Zea mays: one gene and its partner. Each later gene encodes a partner of the first gene's protein in a complex. Links are inferred from orthologs where the notes say so. Each region holds a gene or a part of one and is shown in the gene's direction. Other genes may lie near its edges.

What was found.
Region 2: glutamyl-tRNA(Gln) amidotransferase subunit A, chloroplastic/mitochondrial (region 1) and Glutamyl-tRNA(Gln) amidotransferase subunit C, chloroplastic/mitochondrial share a complex: the UniProt entries of both Arabidopsis thaliana proteins name them as parts of the heterotrimeric GatCAB amidotransferase (AdT) complex. The link is inferred for Zea mays from reciprocal best matches to the Arabidopsis thaliana genes AT3G25660 and AT4G32915.

What each region holds. Positions count from the first base shown.
Region 1 is NC_050097.1:6,255,014-6,259,441, forward strand, and holds the start of glutamyl-tRNA(Gln) amidotransferase subunit A, chloroplastic/mitochondrial, read left to right. Parts: upstream 1-1,499; 5' UTR 1,500-1,557; coding exon 1,558-2,100; intron 2,101-2,403; coding exon 2,404-2,715; intron 2,716-3,374; coding exon 3,375-3,554; intron 3,555-3,659; coding exon 3,660-3,754; intron 3,755-3,846; coding exon 3,847-3,922; intron 3,923-4,428. UniProt on the Arabidopsis thaliana protein: Allows the formation of correctly charged Gln-tRNA(Gln) through the transamidation of misacylated Glu-tRNA(Gln) in chloroplasts and mitochondria. The reaction takes place in the presence of glutamine and ATP through an activated gamma-phospho-Glu-tRNA(Gln).
Region 2 is NC_050100.1:16,521,882-16,526,339, reverse strand, and holds the start of Glutamyl-tRNA(Gln) amidotransferase subunit C, chloroplastic/mitochondrial, read left to right. Parts: upstream 1-1,635; 5' UTR 1,636-1,703; coding exon 1,704-1,913; intron 1,914-2,018; coding exon 2,019-2,059; intron 2,060-4,458. UniProt on the Arabidopsis thaliana protein: Allows the formation of correctly charged Gln-tRNA(Gln) through the transamidation of misacylated Glu-tRNA(Gln) in chloroplasts and mitochondria. The reaction takes place in the presence of glutamine and ATP through an activated gamma-phospho-Glu-tRNA(Gln).

The sequences.
Region 1 (4,428 bases):
ACTACATAAATAAAGTTTCTTGTTAGTTTAATGAAAGGAATTCTCTCCTAACTGAACCAAATGTTATAGTAAAGCAAGAACTGGGGGCAAACAACATTGTACTAGCACATAGATCTCTTCTTCGGTTTAGGGGACCTAAACCGATTCAAGGACAATGGTGTTGCAATTGTGTCGGCCTATTTGGGTTTGCAAGGTGTAAAGTATACCAACTATACGGATGTAGAAACGTAGGGTAATACTTGAAATAATGAAAGACCCTAGATCGATGAATACTCTAAGAATTTATGCCTTGCAAATAACACTAGTACTACACTGCGAACCCTAGGTGACAAATCCGAAATGAATTCAACACATTCATGTACATGCAAACCAAATCCCTAGCAAATTCGACGGTATAATCGATGTTCTCGAATTCTCAAATTTGGTGGGATGACTCTATTCTGCATGTTAACTAAATATGAGGAACGAGGTGTTGATAAATCAACTCATTCTATTCTACAACCAAACAAAAAAATGAGTAATAAAAAGATGATAGACTAGATTATTCACCAAACAAACACCATACAGAGGAAACTTATAGAGTAAGACTCACTCCAACAGGTGCCAGCCAAATCTGGCAGCTATTTTGCTCTTTGGCTGGCCCCTCCCGAATGCCTGCCCAGCTATCCGCGACGTGCATCCAACAGCAGAGGAAAAAAGAAAGAATGAAGTAAGGCAAATGATTGAGGGGACAACTTGTCAGAGACAGGGGAAGAGAATGCCTGGCGCTCGAAGAGCAGGCAGAATGCCGTTTTCTCTCTCCTCCTGGTATTTTGGCTGGCGTGTATAGCTGTTCTGTTGGAAGGCTCAATTTTGAGCTACAATGCTCAGCGGCCAGTCATTTTACCTTTGCCTGCCTGGATAGCTGCTCCGTTGGAGTAAGCCTAATGTAGTTGCAAAAAAATATATATAGAGAAAATAATCTTACTGAGTTGACTAGAATATTTTTTTAAGTTCAGATGTAGAGTAGCATCAATAAGGAGTTAAGGACGGAACAGAGTATACTTTGCTTACATACAGACATACAGTGGAATACAGACCTTGGCCCTGTTTGGCACAGCTTATTTTCAGCTTCTTCACAAATTTAAGCTGAAGTCCTGCCAAACAGGCAGCTTCTGCAGCAGCTTATCAGTTCAGCTGCTTCTCAAAATGAACTAAAAGCAGCCAACAAGCAGAAGCTGCTTTTTACCAGCTTATCAGATAAGCTGCTTTTTCAACAAGCAGCAGCTGTCCCAAACAGGGCCCTTGTCACGACCAGACGATTCGAGTCGATCTTTCCAAAAAAAAAAAGACGTCTACAAACAATTCAGTAGATCGAGACTCCTGGTATGATCCAACGACGTCCCAGCATTTTTAGTTCCACGTGTCTCCAATCCACCTGTCTCTTACTCTCCCACCCCAATCCTCCCAAATCCTCACCTTCCCCTTCCCACTCGGCCACTCCTCATCAGCCATCCCCAAAAGGCCAAAACCCGCGCACACCGGCGACGGCAGGAGAACCTCCCGCCGGCCGCCGCCATGCCGCCGCCTCTACAGGCCCACCGCCTACTCATCTCCCACCGCCGCCTACCCACTCCAGCTCGCCGCCGGTTCACCGCCGCCTCTTCCGTCCAATCCGCTCCCGCCACAACCTTGGCCCCGGGCCCCGCCACATCCTCCATCCTCTCCATCCGCGAGTCGCTCCTCTCAGGCGAGAGGACCGCGGCGGACATCACCTCCGAGTACCTCTCCCGCCTCCGCCGTACCGAGCCGACCTTGCGCAGCTTCATCCACGTCGCGGACGCCGCCGCCGAGCGGGAGGCGGAGGAACTCGACCGGAGGATTGCCTCCGGGGAGAAGGATGCGGTGGGTCCGCTCGCTGGAGTGCTGGTGGGAGTGAAGGACAATCTTTGCACAGCCAACATGCCCTCCACGGGCGGGTCGCGGATACTGGACGGGTACCGGCCGGCGTACGACGCCACTGCCGTGCGGCGGCTGCGGGAGGCCGGCGCTATTGTGTTGGGGAAGACGAACCTCGACGAATTCGGAATGGGGAGCACCACCGAGGGCTCCGCGTTTCAGGTTGGCGGACCAGAACCAGATCCTCATGTCGTTTAAACAGAGTTTGCTGAAGTTTGAGCGTTGCCGATTGTGTTGACTCATGTTGAAATATGACGTTAATGTTAGCCCGATAAGACTCTGATCATGATCAGACCAGGGACAGTTCCAGAATCGTTAATGAGTACCATCTTAATATAGGCGGCTAGTTGCATGTCAGTATTGATGTTGAAATGTGGGGACTTCCCTCGGAGATGAACTGCGCTGCTAAAAATGTAGACACATGGTGATGTGTGATTATGACACATATTGTTTGGTGATATGCAGGTGACAACGAACCCGTGGGATGATTCACGTGTGCCTGGGGGATCCTCTGGTGGTTCTGCTGCTGCAGTATCTGCTAGGCAATGCGTAGTGTCACTAGGTAGTGACACAGGTGGAAGTGTGAGACAACCAGCGTCGTTTTGCGGTGTAGTGGGATTGAAGCCAACTTATGGCCGGGTTTCTCGTTTTGGTCTCATGGCCTACGCTTCATCGCTGGATGTTGTGGGATGCTTTGGTTCGTCGGTTTTTGACACTGCAACCATCTTATCTGTTGTTGCTGGCCATGACAAGATGGACGCAACCAGCAGTTCACAGGTAAAGAAACAGAGGCTAGAGGCTTAGCCTTAAAAGTACATTTGTATGATGTTTCCCATTTCAATCAGTAATATGTTTATTATCTGGTTGGGTTATAACATTATCTGGTACAGTTGCAAGTTGAACCACATGTTTATTTCTATTGTTGGCAAACATGTCTATGACCTCACATGTATTATTTGTTTTGTTGGGCTTCACAGGTTAGTTGTACGCTTGGACATCAGATTTCATTTCCATGTGATCGTGCCATGTTTTGATTTGGTTGTTAGTAATTGTATTAATATGGTTTGATTGGGATGACTTTTGCACTTTATTCTATCTATTTTTTTTATCAGTAATAAAGGCAGCACATGGGTTGTCTTCTTATGGTTGGAAAACAAATCACAGCATAACATTCACAAATGACTAAGAACAGATGTCAGGAGGATTATACTAGTCTGCCCCATACTCCCATTCTTATATATAGCGTTGATTTAATACATTTATATCATTAAAACTATGCAGCTGTCCTGTATGTTTGTTAACAACCCTTAACTTGTTTTTGTCCTTCTATTCTACTCTGCAACTGGATCATGATCCATTAGTGATTTGAGCATACAGGAAGGCATAACATTGATGTTTGGTTCATTGCTACTTGATCTCTTCTGTCACCTTTCCAGGTTGTTCCAGAGTACGCATCGGAGTTGGTCTCCCTAGATTTACTAGAATCGAAACCATTAAATGGTGTGAGAATTGGGATTATACAAGAAACTCTTGGAGAAGGTGTTGCCAGTGGAGTCGTATCATCAATCAAGGGTGCTGCTTCACACCTGGAGCAGTTGGGATCTGTGGTGGAAGAGGCTTGTTACTTTCCACTATCCTAAATATATATTAAAAAACACGTCCTTTTAACGGGATTCATGAAAGAAATTTTAACTGAACTTTTGTCTTCTATTGTATTTCAGGTTTCACTGCCTTCATTTTCTCTTGGCTTACCAGCATATTACATACTAGCCTCATCTGAAGCTTCTTCTAATCTATCACGCTATGATGGTATCAGGTGATCTTGCATTCTTGCGGTAGCTAATCCTTATCCTTACCCCTGTATATTCAAAGTATCATAGGATTTATACTGTGGAGTACTGTTTTCAGGTATGGAGGACAGGTCTCGGCGGATGACTTGAATGAGCTTTATGGAGAGTCCCGGGCTAATGGTTTTGGTCATGAGGTACAATATTCTCAGTTACTAATATATCATATATAAGTCCATACTCCACTAGTATACTCATAAGTTGTCTTTTCAATATTTATTCATGATCCCGTTAGATGTAGTCATGTAGCTTAGCACATTGACCAATCTGATTAGGAGCTGTCACATTGTGTAGAACTATGCACGTGTCCCATGTCATCACAGCTCAGGGATTAGTCATGCTGTACATAGATTTTGACTGACTTCTTTTGCTTTTTAATATTTTTATTATGATACTGTATATGCACAAAATCCTGGCTATTATTACAATGAAAAAACAACAATTATATGCTCCAGTGCTCCACTCCATTTGCAAAGAATATAAATTTATAATTTAGAAAACATATCCAGTTTCTCACTAAAAGGGCAGGCTTGGTGCAGTGGCGAGAGTTGTTTCATTGAGTCACTAGGTCGCTGGTTCGAAGCAACCTGGGCCTGTCCCTTTTTTTATCTTGTTCCTTGTTAAAGAAAGCTTTTAAAATTAA
Region 2 (4,458 bases), on another chromosome or scaffold:
AGTCGACCACGACCAGGCAGCGCCGGAACCCCTCGGTGCCCGAGCTCAGTAGGAATGGGAGACCACTGCCACCAGTGGTCGTCTTGTGCAGCACCGTTAACAGCTAAGACTATCTGTAGTGCAGATTACTCCATATCCTTACTCTATATTACCCTTTATAGTCTAGTCATCAAAATGCAAACCAACCCTCCGTGCAACCGTGCAAACTTCTAATCTGAACCACATGATGTTGATCCAAGGGGACGTGCGGAGGAGTGGGAGGGGGATTTGAAAAGGTGTGATTAGCAGCGGACGATTAAGTGTAAAATTATCCACACCTCTGCGTCCCTTGGATCAACATCATGTGGTTTAGATTAGAAGTTTGCACGGTTGCACGAAGGAGTTGGTTTGCACCAGATACATTTCCCATCAAAATTCATTACTATATATTACAATCTTCTGCGCCCATATCTCTCTCTATATCCCCTCTATATCAATTATTACATATTCTATTTATTATGATCGAAATTCTATATTTTTTGTGCACAACACGTACTTTTGATATGGATAGAGATGGCAATGGGTAAATACCCACCGGGTATTACTACCCCATACCCATACCCACGACACAAAAATAACCCCACTAGGTCACCCACATACACTGGTGGGTATGAATTTACCCCCATACCCATACCCATGTGGGTATGGGTCACCCATCGGGTCACCCGTACCCACAAAAATTAAACATCTATCAAAATATTATACTATACAAATGTCAAGTATATCCATATAAATACCATAACAAAATTTTCTAGCATCATTTAACCATCCATTCAACACACCAAAGATAATTGGATAAAGTAGTAACACTAGGATAGTACTACATAGCACATTACATGTTCCATTACATGGTCATTAAATTGTCATTAAGTCTTCTATGACATTATGGTCTAAAAGGTTGTTAAATAGTAAAAAAGATGAATGACTAAAGTACAAGTTCATGCTTGGGCTAAGTTTATATTGGGTATTTATACCCACGGGTTAACGGGTATGGGTGAAGACGGAACGTTCTAATATTCGTTTACCCATTGGGTGGAGATTTTTGCCCAATAATAAACCCACGAGTATAATATTTAGTCTATATATATACCCTAATGGAGTAAATACCTATCGGGTATCAGGTCGCGGGTACCCATTGCCATCTCTAGATATGGATAAGACTTCTATCGTAATTATTGGTGTCCGCTATATCTGACGCAATATTGTGGATGCATAAGGATATAGAGAGCTATAGCGGAAACCGTTGCACATATTTTTAAGCTCCAGTTACCTGTATGCGCGTTTACCGGAAGGATTTCTGTAGGCCAGTGCAGATACCCTAAGGAAAGGGAGAGATATTTCGGTCCAACAGGGATACATGCCCACTTATCAGACTAGTTAAACATCCGGATGTGTATTTTGACGAAGTGATCTACTCGATTGACCTATTTTTACAAATTCATTGTAGAGTGATCTATTTTGGTAAATTCAATGTGCCGGAGAGGCCCAAACCGACGAGGGGGGGTTCTCAGCTCTGGGCAGTGGCCGCTTTGAGTGGGCCGGGCCGCACCGCGCGAAACGATGAGATGGGATGAGCCGATGAGGCCGCATCGGTGACGACGATCCAATTCCAATCTTAGCCAGACCCGGAGGCAGCAGCGACCAGCGAGCGACGCCGGCCGGCCATGCTCTCCGCCGCTGCGTCCGCCATACCCAGGCTCCGCTTAGCGTCGGGCCCGCGGCTGAGGCGGCCGTCGGCTAGGACGCACTGGCCGCGGCCACTCTCGTCCTCCAGCCACGTAACGCCCGTGGCGGCTGCGGGGGCTGGGGAGCTGGAGCCGCCGGACCTCACCCGCTTAGCCAACGCCGCGCGCATCTCGCTCTCCCCGCAGGAGGTCAGTCGCCGTCCTGCTTTCTTTCTCTTGATGCCAAACATGTGATGCTCTGTGCACATGAGAGGCTGACGCTTTGCTTGTGTTCTCTGTGTGCTCAATCGCCAGGCCGAGGACTTCGAGCCCAAGATTCGTCAGGTTGTGGATTGGTAAGTTTCTGCTACCTGTTCTCTTCTTCTCGCGAGTGGATGATTGAAGGGGCGGTTTGTAGTGCTTGTTGCAGCTCATAAAATTCTGCGAGACGGTGTAGTCTTTCTACTAGGAATGCTCTGCCGTGGGTTTAGATAGTTTCTTAGTCTGTATTTTTTTTTTTGATTGGGGGACCAATGAACACATGCCGTAGTGCATTGCTAATTTCAGACTGGAAATGCGTTGGATGATTCAGATACTGAGTAATGTTAGTACCTTGTGCAGATTGCAATATATCTTACTATGATACCTCTAAAGTCAGCGATTTAAGTCCCTCTCACTTTAAGTTAGAGGAGACTCATCCCTGAAGTCATCCAGATATACACATCGTTCTCACAACTTCACCATGAAAACAATATAGCTGCCAATTGTTGTAGAAGATGTTGAGTAGAAAACACATGAAAAGTTGAAGGCCAACACCCTTGCACCAATGAAGGCACCTTTCTAGGATGAATGGGACGCTGCTTTTAAAAGATGAATATGGCAGCATTATTTTTTCTAGTGAACAATGCAATATGAACATGTTAATGGACCACATCTAGTTCCTGTGGCAGAACACCACAAATGTCACAAGCTCTGCCACAGTTAAGTTTTTTCTCTCGAATGCACAGGAGGACTGCACCATTTTATAAATTAAGAAGAGAGGATACATGGTCAAAAGAAGACCAAAAATACAAAAGTAAACTAAGGAATCCTTACTGAGGCCAGAAACATGCATATATAAACTGGTCCATAGGAACACAGACACTACTAAAGACTAAGAAGCCTCCTTCCCTCAAGTAGCAGGAAGTGGGGCTGCCAGGGAGGATAATACCTTGGCACCAGCAACCTCCCACAAACTCCTCTCATCTTCAAACTGCTTGAGGATTAAAGGCAGGCTAGGAGACCCATTGTCAAAAAAAACACCTATTACGATGAAGCCAGGTCAACCAAGCTCCCAAGATGATAAGGGAGTTGAGACCTTTCATGCAGAGCCCATTTAGTGTCTCTGAGGCATTTTCCCACCATTCCAAAAAGGAGGAGCTAAGGAGTACATACCAAACTTTCTCAGCACCTTATACCAGAAAACCCTTGCAAAAACACATGTGACAAGCAAATGATTTGTAGTTTCAGAATCCTGATCACATAAAGGGCATTTGCTTGGGTGATTTAATCCTCTCTTGGCGAGTCTATCTGCTGTCCAGCATCTGATCTGGGTAACAAGCCAAATGAAAAAAACGATATTTTGGTGGAGCCCATGTTTTCCACACTCGCTTATAATGCCTGAAATAGCATGATCCCATAAAAAGACCTTTATAGGCAGACTCTGCAGAGTATCTACGATCTGAAGCAATGCTGAAAATATGCTTATCCTCCCTGTCAGGTTGCAACTCAAAACCAGAAAGCATCTCCCAGAGACGAAGATAACCTGATAAAGCTTCAACAGTGAGCCTCCCCCCCCCCTAATGTCAGCAATCCATTGACCATTGGATAAAGCTTCTTGTACAGTTCGTTTCTGAGCAAATCTCTTATGCTCCGTTTGGATGTTGGAATTGGAGATGGTGGAATTGAATTGGATCCAATACCAAATCAGCCTGGCTTTGGAAATCGGATCCAATACCAAATCCAGTTCAATTCCGAGCAAATCAGAGGGTGGAGGGTCGGAATTGGAGAGTGGAGGCGTGTGTAGAGTTGAATACCGGCTGGAATTTGGTGGATTTCCAATTCCAAATACTGTGACCATCCAAACACCAGAATTCGGGTTTGTCAATTCCAATTCTGAATTCCGAGTCTAAATTCCAACATCCAAACGCACTGTTAGGAATTATGCCAAAAAGCCTAGGGGCCGACTCAGAGATTCTTTCCCCATGCAGCCACTTATCAGTCCAGAACAAGGTGTTTGCACCGTCTCCCACTTCAAAAATCAGGACCATGGAAAAGAAAGCCCGGGCCTTGGCCATAATTTGAATAGATAGACCAAACCAAGAGCGCCCAGGCTCAGTTTTTTGCAGCCACAACCACCTCATTCTGAGCGCCCAGCAGAGTTCCTAGAGACTAGAAATACCCAGGCCTCCCAGATGAAGGGGTCTGCAAACCTTTCCCCATGCTACCAAACAGTGCCCCCCTCTAACTTCCTTTCTACCCTTCCAGAGAAATCCTTTTCTTATTTTATCAATCGTCTCCGAAGCCCAATGGGGGATGTCAACTGCCATTGCCACATAAATAGACATGCCTGTAAGCACATGTTGTACAAGGGTTCTTCTCCCTGATCTGGTCATTAGATCCGCCTTCTAATGCGGCAGCCGATCAGCAACCCTTTCAACCAAAGTCTGAAAATGATGTCTGTTTAACTTATGAATGGAAAGAGGAAGACCTAAAT